Callithrix jacchus: one gene and its partners. The protein of the gene in region 3 purifies or fractionates together with the protein of the main gene of each other region. This does not show direct contact. Links are inferred from orthologs where the notes say so. Each region holds a gene or a part of one and is shown on either strand. Other genes may lie near its edges. The genes, in order: ANAPC7, ANAPC4, CDC26, NEK2 and CDC27.

What was found.
Region 1: the proteins of CDC26 (region 3) and ANAPC7 purify together in Homo sapiens (affinity purification with mass spectrometry; 5 studies listed by BioGRID and IntAct, with this or other methods). This does not show direct contact. The link is inferred for Callithrix jacchus from reciprocal best matches to the Homo sapiens genes CDC26 and ANAPC7.
Region 2: the proteins of CDC26 (region 3) and ANAPC4 purify together in Homo sapiens (affinity purification with mass spectrometry; 11 studies listed by BioGRID and IntAct, with this or other methods). This does not show direct contact. The link is inferred for Callithrix jacchus from reciprocal best matches to the Homo sapiens genes CDC26 and ANAPC4.
Region 4: the proteins of CDC26 (region 3) and NEK2 purify together in Homo sapiens (affinity purification with mass spectrometry; 3 studies listed by BioGRID and IntAct, with this or other methods). This does not show direct contact. The link is inferred for Callithrix jacchus from reciprocal best matches to the Homo sapiens genes CDC26 and NEK2.
Region 5: the proteins of CDC26 (region 3) and CDC27 purify together in Homo sapiens (affinity purification with mass spectrometry; 12 studies listed by BioGRID and IntAct, with this or other methods). This does not show direct contact. The link is inferred for Callithrix jacchus from reciprocal best matches to the Homo sapiens genes CDC26 and CDC27.

What each region holds. Positions count from the first base shown.
Region 1 is NC_133510.1:113,283,899-113,286,712, reverse strand, and holds the end of ANAPC7 (anaphase-promoting complex subunit 7), read left to right. Parts: intron 1-1,446; coding exon 1,447-1,636; 3' UTR 1,637-2,306; downstream 2,307-2,814. UniProt on the Homo sapiens protein: Component of the anaphase promoting complex/cyclosome (APC/C), a cell cycle-regulated E3 ubiquitin ligase that controls progression through mitosis and the G1 phase of the cell cycle.
Region 2 is NC_133504.1:168,448,737-168,452,252, forward strand, and holds part of ANAPC4 (anaphase-promoting complex subunit 4), read right to left. Parts: intron 3,063-3,516; coding exon 2,979-3,062; intron 1,604-2,978; coding exon 1,517-1,603; intron 1,069-1,516; coding exon 1,004-1,068; intron 688-1,003; coding exon 645-687; intron 531-644; coding exon 454-530; intron 1-453. UniProt on the Homo sapiens protein: Component of the anaphase promoting complex/cyclosome (APC/C), a cell cycle-regulated E3 ubiquitin ligase that controls progression through mitosis and the G1 phase of the cell cycle.
Region 3 is NC_133502.1:161,586,190-161,590,334, forward strand, and holds the start of CDC26 (anaphase-promoting complex subunit CDC26), read right to left. Parts: upstream 2,815-4,145; 5' UTR 2,786-2,814; exon of another isoform or gene 2,344-2,785; intron 752-2,343; 5' UTR 695-751; coding exon 642-694; intron 1-641. Other genes in the region: PRPF4 (U4/U6 small nuclear ribonucleoprotein Prp4), read left to right, coding at 3,142-3,168, 3,943-4,123. UniProt on the Homo sapiens protein: Component of the anaphase promoting complex/cyclosome (APC/C), a cell cycle-regulated E3 ubiquitin ligase that controls progression through mitosis and the G1 phase of the cell cycle.
Region 4 is NC_133520.1:16,821,165-16,824,680, forward strand, and holds part of NEK2 (serine/threonine-protein kinase Nek2), read right to left. Parts: intron 2,192-3,516; coding exon 2,109-2,191; intron 1,315-2,108; coding exon 1,188-1,314; intron 259-1,187; coding exon 39-258; intron 1-38. UniProt on the Homo sapiens protein: Protein kinase which is involved in the control of centrosome separation and bipolar spindle formation in mitotic cells and chromatin condensation in meiotic cells.
Region 5 is NC_133506.1:87,066,312-87,070,606, forward strand, and holds the start of CDC27 (cell division cycle protein 27 homolog), read right to left. Parts: upstream 2,815-4,295; 5' UTR 2,692-2,814; coding exon 2,665-2,691; intron 2,164-2,664; exon of another isoform or gene 2,076-2,163; intron 1-2,075. UniProt on the Homo sapiens protein: Component of the anaphase promoting complex/cyclosome (APC/C), a cell cycle-regulated E3 ubiquitin ligase that controls progression through mitosis and the G1 phase of the cell cycle.

The DNA of each region.
Region 1 (2,814 bases), on a different chromosome or scaffold from region 3:
TATAGGGTTGTACCTAGTATATATTTTATATTCTTCTTTTTCAAATCAAAGTATTGTAAGTACTTTCCCATGTTTCTATCTACTGTAGTAGTTAAGAACTTGAGGTCTGAAGTTTTGAATACTACTTTCACCACCTGTGATCTTGGGCAAGTTACTAACACATTTCCTTGTCTATATCTATCTACCTATTAGACATTAAATGATTGAATGAGGGTTAAATGATTATAACATGTAAGCTCTTAGCCCTGTGCCTGGTACATAGTAAATACTAAATAAATAGTGGTCTTCTTACTGTTTAATACAGAAGTGGTTTATTTGAGGGTTGTCCGTGTGTGTGTAAGATTATATGGTGAGGGGCTGTCTTTAATAGAGTCTGATCACATTCAGTTGTTCAGCACACAGTTGAGCACCACTTGTGTGCTTATCATCTCAGTGACCATTGGAGATGATATGTTTTGGGAGCTGTCAGTCTTAGACATGCAGACTGACCATACCACATGCTAAGGGCTTTCATAGCAGTCTGTAGAAGGGAAGGTGTGAGTCCAGAGGGCAGGAGCCCTGGGTATGGGTGAGAGCTTCAGAGTATGGGTGTGGAAGGGTTCAGCAACTAGGAGACCAGGAGATATTACAGATCGGTCCGCATTTACATTGTTAGAAACAGAATGCCAATGTGGGTTTTGGCTGCTTTTTAGAAGCCCAGAAGCAAGAGAGAAAAAAAAAATACTAGACTTTTATTAGAGATGGAGTTTACTAGGCGTGGGACACCTGCTGGCTTGGGTGATGGTCACCAAGGCAAGATGAAAGATTGCTTAGGAGGCAAACAAATGAATGTTCTAGAGGCTCTGAACTCTGGGGATGGGGGTGGCACATTTACTGACTCCCAGCTACTAAATGTGAATGCTCGGGTAAGGGTAGCCTTGGGTCCTGGGGTCTAACCTAGGTGTTTACAAATCTGTTCCATGGTACAGCATGATGTTTTTGGTTGGCTCCTGAAATGCTGATATATTTAATTACATCATAAGAACATGGAACACCTCTACTCAGAGAAATTCCTATTTTTTTTTGTAACCCCATAGCTCAAAAACCCAACTTTCTGGGAATTACGTTTGAATTTACCTGTTAATGTTTGTTTACCACTTTTTCATTTGTGTTATCTAGTAGCCACTAGCAGAATGCTAGGGGTAATAGGAATGAAAAAATTTAAGAAATTTGTAGAGAAAAACTCAAATTGAGAACTCTAAAAATTAGGAAAAGACTCCTTTTTGCCCTTCTCATGGTGGACTCCATCAACCCAGCCTCGGAAGCCTGAGTTGTTTGGAGAGGCCAGGCTTTAGCACTTTCTCTGGGACTGTGTGGTCATTTCACTGCTGGGCCAGGGAGATGACGAATCAGCCAGCAAGAGCAAGGCAGAGATTCAGGCCTCTCCTTTGTTTTGTTGTCCCCTAGTTTGGACCCCAATGACCAGAAGTCTCTAGAGGGGATGCAGAAGATGGAGAAGGAGGAGAGTCCCACGGATGCCACTCAGGAGGAGGATGTGGACGACATGGAAGGGAGTGGGGAAGAAGGGGACCTGGAGGGCAGCGACAGTGAGGCGGCCCAGTGGGCTGACCAGGAGCAGTGGTTCGGCATGCAGTGAGGGGGCGGCAGCTCCATGGCCGCACTGGCCTGCCCTGCTCTGAGCACTTCCGTGGACTGAAGGAACCGTAGGAGCCTGCTCTCAGGAGGACAATGATTCAGCATGTGATTGCAGCAGGGGTCTCTGCCCCCTTGCTCCTGATTCCTAGATGTGACTTCATTTCTAAAACAGAGCCTGACCAACCTTCCATGTATCTCCATCCTCCCCTGCTCCAGCCAGGGAGGACTGAGGGAGTGCCCTGAGACCCACACACATGTTGGGGCTTCTGGGCCAAGAGTACTTTTTATATAACTAATTTCTAAATCCAAAAGCTCAAGGAATAGACAGTGTTCTGTCAGTGATGTGGATGGGTTTGAAGGAGTGACCCACCATCCCAGCACGATAGTGTCACCTCCTAAGTTGGATGGCAGCACGATCTGGCCCTAGAGGGCTTCCCGTTCCCAGAAGTCATTGTCCTGGGCTATCCAGACATCCCTAGTAATCTTGCTTCCTTCTGCAATGTTAGTAATGCCTTAAGCTGACAGTTGCTATTTTGCAGAACAGTTTTCCTCTTTGCTTAGCTGGTAACTTGCCTCTCTGAGCCTGGGCTGATTTGAGAAACAGGTGTGATGAGAGCATGAACAGAGGTTCACCTGGGGCAGTTCCCTAATAAAACTGGTTTGTATAGTCATGGTGTTGGGTGATCAGAATGGAAGCTCTTTTTAAAATAGACTTAGTTTTTTTGTCTCTTATTCAGAATGCATTGATTTAGCCCCAGAAGTATTTGCCAAAAATAGACTTTTTTCCCCTAGTGTTGGGAGCCAGGAGGGTTGGAAAGCTCAGGAATCCTGAGCTGGTTCATCTGTTGCATATTGGGTAGGTAAGTTTCCCTGGAGCCTGAGATTTGGCCGGATTTCAGCTAAGTCTGCCTGGCTCTTCTGCTGCAGCTGTGAGATTGAGGTCTGGTTCCAGCAGTCTGTCACTGGTCAGCCTGAGTGTCACACCCTGAGCTCTGGGGCTGGGAGTTTCTTCCCCCACCCCCTCCCTTGTGTCTTAAGTTCCAGTGGCTCTGAGTATACAATTAATCAGAGGTGGGGGCTGGGTGTCACAGCTAATCCCAAATTCAAAAATTAGTCCAAGGTGCTACAAAATAATGAATTTGATGTCAATAGAAGAAGAATCCCAAAATGTAAAAACTT
Region 2 (3,516 bases), on a different chromosome or scaffold from region 3:
CCATATAACCGATTCTGAACTTTTGTTTCCTCTTGTGTCACTGTAAACCTACCCAGCATTAACCTTTTAAGTTAAAGATTGAAATGACCAACACCTTGCTAAGATACTAAATAAACACAATAATCTTGGTAAACTGTAAAATGTTAATCTCACTGCTGAAAAAAGGGATACATGCCTTATTTCAAAATATACTTCCATGCTTAGGTGATTAAGAAAAAACCCCAGATAGAGTCTAGCCTGGTGAAAAGATGCTGGAGAATTACTTCATAAAGCAGAATTATTATTGACTCTTTCAGTCTTGAGTACACGAAGATTCTTCTCAAATGCCATGCAACAATTTTAGCTAGAAAAGGTTTAAAAAGAGAATGCCAGATGAAGAGAAGGCGGCAGAAAGAAGGCCAATGCCAGGTATGTGTGGATACAATACCAAAAGATTCTATTTCATCTTCATACCTCTGTAAGTGACTTATGACCAATTTTTGTATACTGGAATATGATGACTCTATAGACTGGCCAAGCTTTTTTAAGCCCTAATTGAAAGAAGAAAATATATTTAGCATACAATTAGGATATTATATGCCACTCAAAAAAAAAATTAAGAATATGTTCATAGCCATTTTAACACATAGATACATTAACTGCACCTTTACTGTTAACTGATTCATCAGGAGAGTCTGAAGTTCAGCACTACAATGAAAAACAAAGTATTTTTAGTCACTTCTCTATTGGAAATCTGAATGCATCACTTAGAACTTTCAAATTTCAAAGCACAAACAAGACTTTGAAACAAAATAAAGAAACAGCTCAACAAAAATTAAATTGTATGAATGTAACATCACATATACCCCATAAATATGCAAAACATGTATCAATTAAAAACACTATGTATCAATAAAAAATTCATATGACTATAAACTACTTTTCAAATAAAACTACTTTTCAAATAAATAATTACTGTTAAAAAAAGAAGCAAAAGCAGGAGCACCTAATCTGAGTTTATTACCTTGCTTTTCCCCATAACAGCAAGTGCATGAACTCATCTTGCACTGATGTGGTTGTGTTCTTTTCCTAAAAAAGAGAAAGAAAAAAAATTGTGATATATTTACTAAATTATAAGCATATTTATTCAAAATTACAGGAACATGACTCCCTTTCCTTGCCTTAAACTTCCATCCAATCCATAAAGTGATCATCAAACATGAGTGACTAGAAGACAGCCAGTCAGCTGTTCTAACATCTGCCCTTATTGCCCAAGCCCCACCAGCTCCACTTCACAATCCTGTCTCCACCTAAGCTGTACCAATAGGAAAAGAGCCCTTTTTGGAAATCTGAGAAAACAGTTTGAAGTTAGACTAAGCCATTTGAAAAAAATCACAATCTTAATCACAATTAGCCACGCCAAGCTAATTTTTGTATTTTTTGTATGCATCCAACTGATTTTTCTCATGTACCTCAAAGTAAATACATACATCAAGCATTCCTTAACTCTCTCCATGAGAAACTTCATGTGCTTTACCTGTACAAACTTGGTGAGACGAGAATCCATCTGCATTAGTATTTCTTCCCATGCTTCACACATACATGTTAGTGACAAATTTATATACTATTAGCAAAAAAGAAAAAAAATTGAAATGACAAAAAATATTTAAACCAACTTGCTATCTAAATATGTGCTTATGATCAAGTGTCTCAATGAATTTATTTTCAATCACTCCTTTACTTGTATTTATTTATTTATTGAGACAGAGTCTTGCTCTGTTGTCTTGGCTGGAGTGCAGTGGCACCATCTCAGCTCACTGCAACTTCTACATGCCGGGTTCAAGCTGCCTCAGACTTGCGAGTAGCTGGCATTACAGGCATGCATCACCATGCTGAGTTAATTTTTGTATTTTTAGTAGAGACGGGGCTTCACCATGTTGGCTAGGCTGGTCTCAAACTCTTGGCCTCAAGCGAACTGCCTACCTGAGCCTCCCAAAGTGCTGGGATTACAGATATGTGCCACCCTGCCCAGTCTCAATCACTCTTTTAACTCAGTTAAGAGGGAGAAAAAGACTATAGCTTGCTCATCACTTAATAATGAAACATTCCACTGATTCTTAGAATTTCATAATAAAACATTGTTAAATTAAGTTTTTATCTGGTAAAACAAATATCCCCAAGCTTTTTATAGAAGACTTGTCTTATGTACACTAACTGTCAAAATGCTGGTTTGGTCAACTAACTATTCAATTTTCAAATAGGATCCTTAAAAAGATACTGATCTCTAGAAACCTTTATTATCAAATAAATTAATGACTGTGATAGAATGAAAAAATATGGTCACAATTTTTTGTAGCTCCTTCAGTCAGATGTAGTGTTAATTTCTTCAGCCTTTGAGTCTCACTTTGACAAACAAAATGCAGCAGAAATAATGCTGTTGACTCCAGGGCCTCAACAGTCTTTGTATGCTTCCACTTGCACCCTCAATGCCCCATTACCACCACCATGTGGACAAGCCTGTGCTGGCCTGCTGGAGTATGAAGGATGTGGAATAGAGACAAGGCCATCACAGCCAAGGAACACATATCAGCTGGCATGACCAAGTCTAGTCACCCAACCTCTTGGCTAAGCCTAGCCTAAATCACCAACCTAGAGAACTGGGAGCTAATTTGGGGTGGGTTTATTATAAACAAATGTAAACTCAGGTGAAGACTGTTTTTCCTACAATACTTTATATTACCGATGGTATTTTATTTATGGGACTATTTTAAAGATTTAAACTATTTTTTCCTTTTATTTTAGAGGTGGAAAATAGGGTGTGGTAGATGTAGATTCTAAATTAAATGTTCTTTCCCTGCTTTAATGGACCTTATAAGATTATCTATCAGACTAGATGCCCCTACTTCAGACAGCTTTACAAAACAACATTTTGAAGTTTTTTACTTATAGAACTTTAGAAGCCAATAAATATTCACATAAAACAAGCTCTAGATAAATACCTGTAAAAGAGCTGAAATGTGAGTAAACTTTCTGGCCATCCGAGTTACTTCAGGTAAGAAAGAGTACAACAGATTGGTTTCAAGCTGTAAAATCAAAAGAGTAAAGTGAGTCACCATCAGACACACTTGCGGCAAAGCCTGCAATTTAAGAGTGTAGGTTAAACTACGTATCACAAAGACTATGTCAGAATTCTGCCCTCTTTGAGCATTAATGGTTTGGAAACTAACAGCACACAGCCTTAGGATCACCTAACCTATGCATAACCATACGCAAATCACTCTCTCTGGGTCACCAACCCCTTCTGTGTAGACAGAATAAATGTAATATAATCTATTTTGCAACGGTGTTACAAAGAAATTTTTAAATCACAAATATATGCAAAAACTTAAGGGAAATAGAAGGAATTAAAGGCTACTTATAAATATTGGGAAAATATCTCTCAATGATATATGAATTATAACAAATTTGTCATTAAAAATTATCTGTTATAAACTTCGCAGTAGTGAATCATTTTATTAGAACCCCAATGCAATCCTG
Region 3 (4,145 bases):
TTTTTTTTAAAGAGATAGGGTCTGCTCTAAGAAATAGTGTCTGCTCTTTGCCCAGGCTGGCGTGCAGTGGCATTACCTTAGCTCACTGCAGCTTCAACTTACTGCGCTCAAGCAATCTTACTGCGTCAGCCTCCTGAGTAGCTCGAACTCAGGTGTACACCACCACACTTGGCTAATTTTTGTGTTTTTTGTAGAAATGGGATTTCTCTCTGATGCCCAGGCTAGTCTCAAACTCTTGGGCTCAGGTGTTCCTCCCTCCTCATCCTCCCAAAGTGCTGGCATTACAGGCCAAAGCCACTGTGCCCAGTGACTTCTTAAGTCTTTAGGTATGTCATTATTACATTTTTAATACATGACGGAGATCCACAACTCTGAAAAATCCAAAAACTATTCTGTAAGAATTTAAAATAGCAAACTGCCTAAAAGAGAGAAATTCCAGGCAACCATCACTTTAATTTCATGTTCCAGTCACGTTCAAAGAAATATTCTAGCTAAAAGAATAAACTGTCACATCTTAACTTAGTATAGAGGGGAAAGTAGACAAACCGCTGAATTTAATCTACATGAGGACTGTCAGAGATTTGTGATCACTCCTGAATGCTAGAATCAGTTTGCTAAATCTCATGAAAACGCCAACTCACCAATTCACAAAATTATTCTCAGCGTTTAAACAGATCCTAAATGTGTCCGTCATTCATTAAACAAATACTTCTTGTGCTCCAGCTACAAAGTTAAAAGGTACAGTCATAATCTGTGGAGAAAACAAAGAGAAAGCTTTGATATTGCATAATGAGAACTCTGATGAGGGTAAGGCACTGGCATCACACGGGCACCTAATCCAGTCTGGGCTGAGTGTGGGGTGGACAAGGATGTCAGGCAAGCCTTCCTGGAGAAAATGATGTCTTAGCTGACTCACTCCCAAGAGCAGGCAGAGAGAAGAGTGCACAAAGGAGACTCAAGACCAGCTCTGGAAACCTAGCAAGACCCTGTCGCTACAAAAAAGTAAAAAAATTAGCTGGGCTGGTAGTGTGTGCCTGCAGTCTTAGCTACTCAGGAGGCTGAAGTGGAAGGATCCACCTGAGCCCAGGAGTTTGGGGTTGCCACAATGAGCCACGATCTCACCATGAGACCCCCAACTCAAAAACAAACAAAAAAAAAGAAGTAGAAAACAGGCTCAAGAGAGCATTCCACAGCCTGAAATCGCAAAGTAAATGTTAATAAAAACTGTTTTTGTTTTGTTTGTTTTTTGAGAAAACACAACTCCTCCAATTGAGTTTAATATTTGTTGATGACATCACTTGTATATTCTCCACAGCATCCCCTAAAATCCCCTAGAGTGTATCTATAAAAAACAGTCAGTAAGGGCCGGGCACGGTGCCTCACACCTGTAATCCCAGCACTTGGGAGGCCGAGGCGGGCAGATCAGGAGGTCAGGAGTTTGAGACCAGCCTGACCAACATGGTGAAACCCCGTCTCTACTAAAAATACAAAAATTAGCCAGATGTGGTAGCGGGCGCCTGTAATCCCAGCTACTCAGAAGGCTGAGGCAGGAGAATCGCTTGAACCCGGAAGGCGGACGTTGCAGTGAGCCGAGATCGTGCCACTGCACTCCAGCGTGGGTGACAGAGCAAGAGTCCGTCTCAAAAAACAAAAAACAAAAAAAATCTGCTATACATTTTACCTTTTCTGCAAACTGTGAAAAACTCTCCACTAGGAAGAAGTATAGAGTAACAGTTAATAGTGTGGCTGTAGAGGTTAATCCCACTACACCACTGATCTTGAATAATTAGTTTCATCTCTCACTAGACCTTAGTTTCCTCATCTGTATCTGACTCTGCTATTGTTGGTGAATAATATAATGCAGAGTAAAGAGTAAGCTCTTGGAACATAACTTGGCATTTTAAAAATGTGCAATAAATAAAATCTATTATTACTGTAATTTTTCTAGGGGGTTGGATGGGGATCTGGCCAGCTAGGGAAACCTCAATGTTTTGAGAATCATCCACCTCCCACGTGGAGATAAAAGCCTTATCCTGGCCGGGTGTGGTGGCTCGCTCCTGTAATCCCAGCACTTTGGGAGGCCGAGACGGGTGGATCGCGAGGTCAGGAGTTTAAGATCACTCTGGCCAAGATGGTGAAACTCCGTCTCTACTAAAAATACAAAAATTAGCCGGGCGCGGTGGCCGGTGGCGGTAATCCCACCTAATCGGGAGGCTGAGGCAGGAGAATCGCTTGACCCGGGGTCGGGGTGGACCGAAGGTTGCAGTGAGCCGAGATCGCGCCACTGCGCTCCCAGACTGAGCGACAGTAAGACTCCGTCTCAAAAGAAAAAAAAAAACTTACCTTGTTTGTCTCTAATTCCCCAGCATCCAGCAGGGCACAGGGACGTACAGAGCTATCTGACACCTTCCTATCCATCATCTTACTCTCAATCTGATACAACGACCGGCTCTAGACAAATCAACAAAGTCAGGCCGAAGCTCTTCCGCCGGGTCTTTATTTGACTTTGGCACTAGGGAGCTCTTCTAGCAGCCTAAATCCACCGCGGAGCCATCAAGCTCAGAGGGGGCCCCTAAGAAGACTTCCGGATTGTGGAGAAAAACAGCCCTTGTCCCCTAGCTCCAAGCCTGTACCTCGGATCCCTGGCGAGGATTTCCATGGTAACAAGGTCTTCAGCTCCAGGAAGACTTAAACGCTCCGGTAGGCCCGGGTGGCACGGCGGACCCCGGAAGTCCTCGACTCGCTCCAGAGTTCAGCCCCGAGCCGCGCGACGCAACGCACCTACCTCTTTTCAAGCCTGTTCAGCCCCTTCCCGGAACCTCCGCTCCCCCAGTGAAACTATTGGTAAGCCAACTGGACTACACTTCCCAGACTACTTGGAGCCTCTCTCTCAGCAGAATCTCGTCTTGCGCGAGCTTTCTCCGATGTTCTAGGAGGCATGCCCCTCAATACGATCACACCGCTTCCTACTACGACTTCCATCATGCTCCGCGCCGCTCCGGGCGCGGCTACGGCTCTCGGCACACGTCCGGTCGGTGACGCACTTCCGATCGGTGATGCTCATCCGCTCTGCTGGGCGCGCGGTGGACGATCTGAATCGGAGACCTCAGGTTTCGCTGTAGCTTTTCTCCAGAGCCCGGCATGGCTTCCTCGCGAGCTTCCTCCACGGTACAGAGCCCGGGATCTCAGCTCACTCTGGCAGGAAGCGCGAAGGGGGAAGGGGGTCCTTGCGGGAAGGGGCCGTTAGGGAACGGGAGAAGGCGGTGGAGGGCCGAGGAGGAAGGCTGTGGGACTCCGTGTCCTAGACAGCCGAGCACCGTTTTCCTGATCCCTAAGCGCTTTCGTGGACTATAGCTTATTTGCACCTCTCCGACTACATCCCTGAAGGGCAAACATCTCTTCGGACTGATCCAGTAACGGTGCTCTGAAATAGGGAAGTGTCTTGGCCAAGATTGATGCCTTTGGCAGATCTCAGAACTTTAATGAGACCTACTAACTCCTACTGCCTCAGGTCTAGAAACGTTTGAAATATATACGCTAGTAATCTTGTAACTTGTTCTTCTTTAGCACCGCGTTAGTTATTTCATCTATATTTGGTACTTCCCCAGTGATGAGCAGTAACCCTGGAAGCATCGTAAAACACGAGATTGCACACTTCCAACAGAATGAAGTAAACAGATTGCAGAGCAAACCCTTGATAGAAAAATACCCGAGAGAACCTCACTAGTTTTATCAATCCTGTCAACCAAAGTGAGGGACTGAAACACCCTCCCCCTACCCTCATCTCCTCAAATCAATGAAGAACATCTTAAGCAGTGTCCAATTTGTCCTTTCAATTACAGAGGAAGTAGGACTGTGAAACTCAGGGTGAGCTTCATCCTCTGGGGAAGTCCAGCAAATTGTTAAGATTAAGCGTTAGTTTAAGTCAGATTTTTGATTTAGCAGGCAACCAAAACTAAAGCACCTGATGACTTAGTTGCTCCGGTTGTGAAGAAGCCACATATCTATTATGGAAGTTTGGAAGAGAAGGAGAGGGAGCGTCTGGCCAAAGGAGAATCTGGGATTTTGGGGAAAGAAGGACTTAAAGCAGGAATCGAAGCTGGAAATATTAATATAACCTCTGGTAAGATGCAAGTTGTGAGTTC
Region 4 (3,516 bases), on a different chromosome or scaffold from region 3:
GATAGTTCCGCTTTGCTTTGACCCCCATTCAGACTTACGCTCCAATCTTTCTTCTCTGGCTCTGAGAGCTCGCTCTCGCTCCTGTAACTGAATTTCCTTTAATTTCAGCTCACTCAATACAGGGCTGGAATCCTGCAATTTCTCTGGCTCTCCTAATTGTCTCCCTCTTCTCTCAAGATTTCTTCTTTGCTCGTCTGCCACCAAATCTGCTATTAAAGCGTTCTCGAGAATTTCTTCAACAGAAGGTCGATGGTAATCCTGGGGGAAAAATACTCAGTGTTATAGTCAGATTGCATAACAGAATAGTCATCCTAAGACAGCAGTTACAATGAAAGGACATAAATGTATTTCCAAGACAAAAGAAAGCACTCTTTTATGGATAGGTCTTACACTCTTGAAAAAATAAGTTTAATGATGGTTTTAACTCATGAGGTTCTGGGTCCACAAGGTAATGCAGATATTAACTTACCTTTGTCCCCTTTCCCCTTTTCACCTTTCTAAGAAGGTTCAGTCCCTGAAGTACTTTGGCACATCTTGTGCTGCTGCTTGATAGCATTGCTAGGGTCTGTTTTAGGGGAAGTACTGCCCTTGCATCTTTAAACTACATTTAGCAAGATACTCTCTTTCTCTCAATCCTGTCACTTCATCTGTTTCTTTATCTGTGATCCTACAGCATTTTCCTTCTTCTCTTATGTCAGCCTGATCCCCAGAACATCTCCCTCCCCATCTATAGCCAGAGTTTTTCCATGTAATCTCTTTGATTTTTCCTCTTCTCTTTTTAGCTGTCCTCTCTCCACCCTCCATCACCCCTCCCTTTCTTCTGGTCTCTAATCTCTCAATTAGAGCTAGAGGCAGGGTCTTATTTCTGGCCCCTTCCCTCACCACGTGCCACTATGAGGTACGCAAAGACAAGGGGAATGAGGATTTGAATTCTTTTTGCAATCTTTCCTTGCTACCATCTGTTAGTATGGCAGAGTGGGAGGAGAAATAAAGCGCAGAAGGTGGGCCAGCAAGGATGTACAATTTACCAAATTTACATATGTCTTCACTTGTGTTAACACAGTATATTTAGCTAAGAAAGTATATTTAATGTTTCTTCAGTCTCCACCGGTCGATAACAGAGAATGTATGCTCCAACACTTAACTGACAGCTAGAAACAGATAATATATCATCTTATCATCTTTACCTTTAAGTTTAACATCCTCGTAATAATGTCATTCAATTCATCGGAGTAACGGTATGGAATTCTCCTGAATTTGCCTTCTCTGATTTTCCCAGCGAGTTCTTTCTGGTTAAAAGCTGTAAATGGAGGCCTAGGATTAAAAGAGAAGAAGAAAAAGACGACAAAGACATTTTCAAATTGTAAAAATGAAAATATACAACAGGAACAAAATCAAAAGCACAGTTTCACCTCTAGTTTGTATTTAAGTTTCTATTTCTGGGATTTTCTTCTATAAGTAAGTTTCCCAACCTTGGCACTATTGACATTTGAGGTTCTATAATTCTTTGTTGTGGGGGGCTGTCCTGTGCAGTGTAGGGTATTTTATAGCCCCCCTGCCCTCTACCCTCTAGATGCCAGGGGCATTCACCAGTTGTAATAACTAAAAATGTATCCAAACATTGTCAAATGCCCCATGAAAAGCAAATTTGCTTCCCTCATCCCTGGTTGAGAACCACTGCTCTACAGAATAGTTTCAAAGGGAAAAAAATGAAAAGAAGAAAAAAGGGAAATAATTGGAGCTCTTCCCTGCTCTACAGATCCCCAGACCTCTACCTGAGGCTTATATCATTTCTTCCATATCCTTACAGTGGCTTTACCTTACCTGCCTGACCTATGTGCTCTCCCCCTTAAGCTAAGTGTCAGTCTAACAGGGAAGCACCTAACCAGCCAAGACACTTCAACAGTCAGGACCCAGCCTCATGGCTAATAGTTTTAATTTATGAATAGTTTCTTTCAACTTGTCCATCTACCTTAATTTTACCCAACGTACAATTCTTTCAGACTTGAATATGCTTTCATTAGCATGCATGTTCAAAAAACTGAACCCAGTGAAAGGTGACAAATGGTACAAACCTTAGACTAGGAATTTGTCTTCATCATACTTACATTAATGCACATAACTCATACAGCAAACAGCCCAAAGACCAGATATCTGATTTCTCATTGTAGGACATGCGATTCATTTGTTCCTATACAGGAAAAAAGGGCAAGAAAGTGGAAGGTGTTAAGAGTTTATCTTGTTTTGAAACTTATGAAACATATTAAATTACTCCTGAGATAAAAACAGAACCTCAAAGTTTTTAGCCTACACTTTATCTTCAAATTTATAATGGAAAAAAGGCATTGATCTTGTTCCACTACAATCTGTCATATATAGTTCATTCACTCATTTTTCATTCACAAATAAAAGTGCTTAGTATAAACTAAACACTGACAGTTCAGAGGTGAATATGAGAGACTTCCACTCTCAAGGCAAATCAAGAAACACCATTTTAAAAGAACTAGAGAACATTTAAGAATAATCAAAATACGTATCTAGTCCACATTTCAATGGATCTACACATAGCTAATGGAATTATCCATTTATATTTTTTCTTAGTCCACTGCACAAATCATAGAAGTAACTAATATTATCATTACCTATTTTAATGTTTGCCCTTCTTCCACATCTACAGTAACAACAGTCTACCAGAGCTCTTATTCTCAATAGCGGGAACAGAAGCAAGCACCACCCAAATCTCTAGGAGGCTGATTAGTGTTTTCAAGTCCAACTGGTCAATCTGATGCCACCTTTTGACAATCAGGGCCTTAGTCTGAACCACTCTAATTACAAGGGCAGGAGGGAAAAGGAACAAAAGAATAGGTTTCAAATTTTCCAAGAACCACTTCTGGATAATTATCTTTTATGTTAAAAGTGTTCTATTTGAAATTTGATACAGTGAGAAAATGGTACTGTTCTGGCCATTTTAATCTTAATCAAAACAAAAATCATTAATTTACAAAGTTTTATACTATAGTCAGCTCTGTTAACATAATTTCTAAAGATTTGGAAAATCTTAGAAAGGTGAACTACTAAAATGCTAATAAATATTTCTTCATCTTTATCTGTTCAGATGTCATATAGTAACATATTAGTGCTATCCCAATTGACTTAAACATTTAAAAGCCATCAGGCAATATCTAACAACAGCCATAAACTGTTTATACCTTTTACCCCAGCAATTTAATTTTATGAGCTACACTCCAAGGAAATAACCAAAAGGGAAGAAAGAATAATTCATACAAATGGTGAAATATTTTGGAAACAAAATCTCCAGCAATATAGGTAAAGGGTGAGTGGACTCAGCAAGGTATTTCAGGAAAAGACAACAAAAAATAACATGTACAAAAAGTTAACACTGTAAAAACATGTTATCTGAAGTGAGCAAACTTTCTGAGCTCCGAATCTGCATGCACAAGAATTATTTAGAGTCTGTTAAAATGCAAAGTCCCAAATCAAAAGTATAACATTGAA
Region 5 (4,295 bases), on a different chromosome or scaffold from region 3:
TGCTTTTATTACATAATTCCTCTGCTCAAAAACTCTTCTGCTCATTTAATAGTTATTCATTACCAATGTACATTAAATCTAAATTTTTCATTCAAAGATCCATACCCTTTGAATCCATGTTAGATGTTGTCCCTCAACATTTTACCCCCAGCCAAAAGTACTCCTTCACCATCTAATGATCTCTAAAGCAGTATCAAGTATGTAGTACCAATTGCTATATTGCTTATGAAACCAATTTTCAAAAAGCTTATTTACAACTTCATCCAACATCTCTGTGAAGTCTTACCCCTAGGAATAATTGCTAAATCTATATAAAATCTCTTTGCTTCTTTTTTAAATACCAATTTCATCAGGTGACTTTTATAAATACCCAAAAAGCTCTCACTGAAGTCACTTAGGCTAGTGTGTCTTTCCAAATAGTTACCATTAAAAATAAAAGATCTGACAGAACTTCTGCCTCATATGTGAGATTTTTGTAAGGACTCAAATATAAGTAATACTCTTCTGAGAGGTAGTAACTTGAGACAGAATTTTAATTTAGGCATATATGGTATATCAGGCTGGCCATTCTATGTTAAAACTTTAAAGAAAAAAATGCAAAAAATAGTTGTTCATCTTTTCTGTCAACTTTTTCCTATGCCTAGTAATACCATCAACTCTGAGACATTCCAAGAAAGAAAACAATTTTCCAACTCATTCTCATTGCTTTCCAAATGCATGTAATCTGTCGTTACAGTTTTTTTTAAGACAGTATGTTTATATCTGTCCTATTTTTATTCTCTTCTTTACTAATTCTTTCCCATCTGCAACACTATCCTTGATCATTGATCTTTATCATTGTAGTCAAAGTTGCCAGTTCTTCTCACTGCTCCAAATCATCCCTTCTTGAATGGCTTCTTCTTATACTATACAACCAAAAATCTCACCTAGTCATATCCTATAACTTTCTACCGCTATCTCAAAAATCTAGTGAACAATGCTACTGTGAAAAACAGGCAAATCTGACCTTTAAGCCTTAAAAATACCCAAGTGTGTAATTACTAACAAAAGTACTTTAAGTACAAACAAGAAACCTGATGGGTACTATCTAGAAATAGGCTACATATTTCTTTTCTTTTCCATGCTTTTATAACGTCTGAAATTATTATTAAATGGTGGTTATAGACTGTCACTGCAACTAGTTTATCACTTCAGAAGACTTCTGGAGCCAGAGAAAGCAAAAAAAAAAAAATTATTAAAACAAAATTACAAGGATATGCAACAGAAATTAAACAACTTGAGTAATCTGCTTATCTATTTAAGCTCATGCTAGGCCTAAAAAAACTGTGTATATATAATTATCTTATCTATAGCCATAGAATAAAAAAATTTTTTAAAGAAACGCTATACTGTTAAGAAGAATTTGGATGAAAATAGCTCTAGAAGAACTGATACAACTTACAGACAGGTAAATTTCATAAGGTATAATCTTAGGTTTTATGAATTCAAACACTAATAGCTGCTATCTGTAAACAGCTGGAGAAGAAGCCAAACTAGAAGAAATGAGTATTTCATGCTGTGAAGAAAAATTAAACAAACAGGAAAGTAGTGGTATGTTAAAATATTTACTATTTGATATCTCAAGCCTTTTAAGGGCAATATGAAGGAATTTATAAAAATTGGTTTGCTTTGTAACTTCAAAATTAAGTCCATGACTCAATGACAGCAGTTGATATAGGTCAATTCTGATCGAGTCAAACATCATATGGTAGGATGAAGTCTCCCAGACCTGGTCCATCCCCAAGGCACAAAAGATTCAGTTTCTCCAGCTGTGGGGGGGCCCGGGGAGGGGGAATGACTTGGCACCGCATCACATACTTAAAATCCAATAGGGTTTCGTTAATGTAACACGGCACTGTGCGTCAAAGCATATCTTGGTGTAAGGGCGGTGAAATGGACAGAAAAAACATTATTTGTCTTTCATTTCCTGAATGCCTTATAAACATGCACAACAAAATGCTCCTGATCCCCTTCACCGAGGATGAAAACAACCCAGATGTGCCCTTTCCACCCGCTCCCCTGGTATAGGTGCTTGCACCTCAGCACTGAGGCTTGGAGTTGTCTTCTCAAATCATCATTGTCCGGTGGGAAATTCCCCGAGAAAGGCAACGTGGGCTAGGAAGTCTGTTACCAAAATAGAAATTAGTATTAAAAAGACCGATCCTACTCTCCCCTCCACCCTCTCACATAAGACAAAAACAAAAATAAAACCCCCGCAAACTTGCCCTACCATCGCTAACATCATACAAGCTCTGATCAAATGTGCTTCTCGATCATCTTTGAGGCAAGAGAGCGTCCGCGGTGCGTTTTCGGACCCTCATCTCCCACCCCAGGTCAAGCCAGGCCCCTGGACTGACAGGAAGGGCTGGCCGGACGTTGGCTTGGACCGGAATGGCGGTTATGCTCAACGAAACCGCTCACACTAAGGGTGAAAGTAACGAAGGGCCCGAGGTAACATGGCTTAGGTTGCGGGCAAGGCCTCCGAACTAAAGATAGGCAGGACTCGGAGGCAGTAGAGGCGGGAGAAGCAGCCCGGCCTAGGCCGCACCAGGCCGCGGAGTGGCCCTACGCTGCTTCCCCGACCAAGGCTGTGAGCCAGGCCTCAGAGAAGAGAGTTATCATTACCTGGACGGGTTCCTGCAGCACCGTCATCCTCGAGGATCACTTTCTGCAGTGCCTCAAGCCCCCCCGGTAGCGGCTCCGGCCCGGCCAGCCCCGGCTCATTTAAACTCACCAGCGACCGTTACCGGGGGATTGGGGAGGCCGAGCGTTGCCGAGCGCCTCCGAGCGGGACACGGAAATACCCGAAGTGGAGAAAGCCGAGCGGAAACGAGACGGAAAGGCCCGAAGTATGTCGGAAATACCCGAGGTGGGTCGACGAGGAAAAACCGTTGCCGGAAATTGTCGAGGATTACCGGAAACTACCGAGTCTGACCCTGAGCGTAAGTTCCTCTTCTCGGCCACGCCTTCAGCCACGCATACCACGCCCAATCGGCCGTCCTAGGGCTGGGCCACGCCCAAGCAGCAACCAGCAGGCTGGGCGTGGCGTGACGGAACTGGCGAGGAGCGTTACGTGGCGGGGCTGCAGTGTGGAGTCGCCACTCGGCCCTCCTGGATTTATTGGTGTGCAGTAGATTATAATATAGTAAAGGGTAAAACAGCAGAGTTTGGGGCTGACTATAATAAATCAACAAGTATTTGTCTATTGAGTTTAGATTATTCGTCCATTCCAAAAGTATCTACTCACGGCTCGGGGAAATCTAAAGAAATTTGGAAAGATTGCCACTCCCCAAAGATAAAGGATAGCTTGTCTTCAAGGAGAGTAAGGCCTATTTAAGGGAAAAGCAGTGGAACAGAGAACGCTATGTTACGTGGTGCCTATTATAAGTAATACACAAATTCAGAGAGGGAAATTGTGTTAAACTGAGGAAAGTTTTATGGAAGGGAAAAAAAGTTTAAATTGGAGTTTGAAGGATGGATAGAATTAGAGGAAAAGGAACTATAGGATTAAGTGGAGGGAAGAAAAATGAGATCAGTCTGCTAAGAAGGCATTAATTGGAAGTACTTAGGTGGAGAGATCATGGAAACGCTCAATAAGCCGTTAGAAAAAAAATTTTTTTTTTTTGAGATGGAGTTTCGCTCTTGCTACCCAGGCTGGAGTGCAATGGCGCGATCTCGGCTCACCGCAACCTCCACCTCCTGGGTTCACGCAATTCTCCTGCCTCAGCCTCCTGAGTAGCTGGGATTACAGGCACGCGCCACCATGCCCAGCTAATTTTTTGTATTTTTAGTGTAGACGGGGTTTCACCATGTTGACCAGGATGGTCTCGATTTCTTGACCTCGTGATCCACCTGCCTCGGCCTCCCAAAGTGCTGGGATTACAGGCGTGAGCCACCGCGCCCGGCCAGAAATTTTTGTTTTTGATAGGAGAGGCATTCCGCTGTGGTAGAAACAGTAGGGGATCTGAAATTCAGAGGCCTGGTTTTGAATTTTAGTTTTAGCACTGACAAGTCATAGGTCCTTAGGCAAATTATAACCTCTCTGAAATTCTTCTGTTCGCTTAGTTTGAAAAAAAAAAAAAAAGGATTAAGAGACTTCGATGTATCACCAATGTGGCTCTGTCTAGCACGCACTGTAGACTCTCATACCTTTCTGTCCCTCCTCTCCCCCCAAAAAAGTGAACCAGGGAACTGTTGAAATTTTGTTTTTCAGCAGATAAGGAAAACAGGTTTAAAAGTTTACTAGTCAGGAGTTC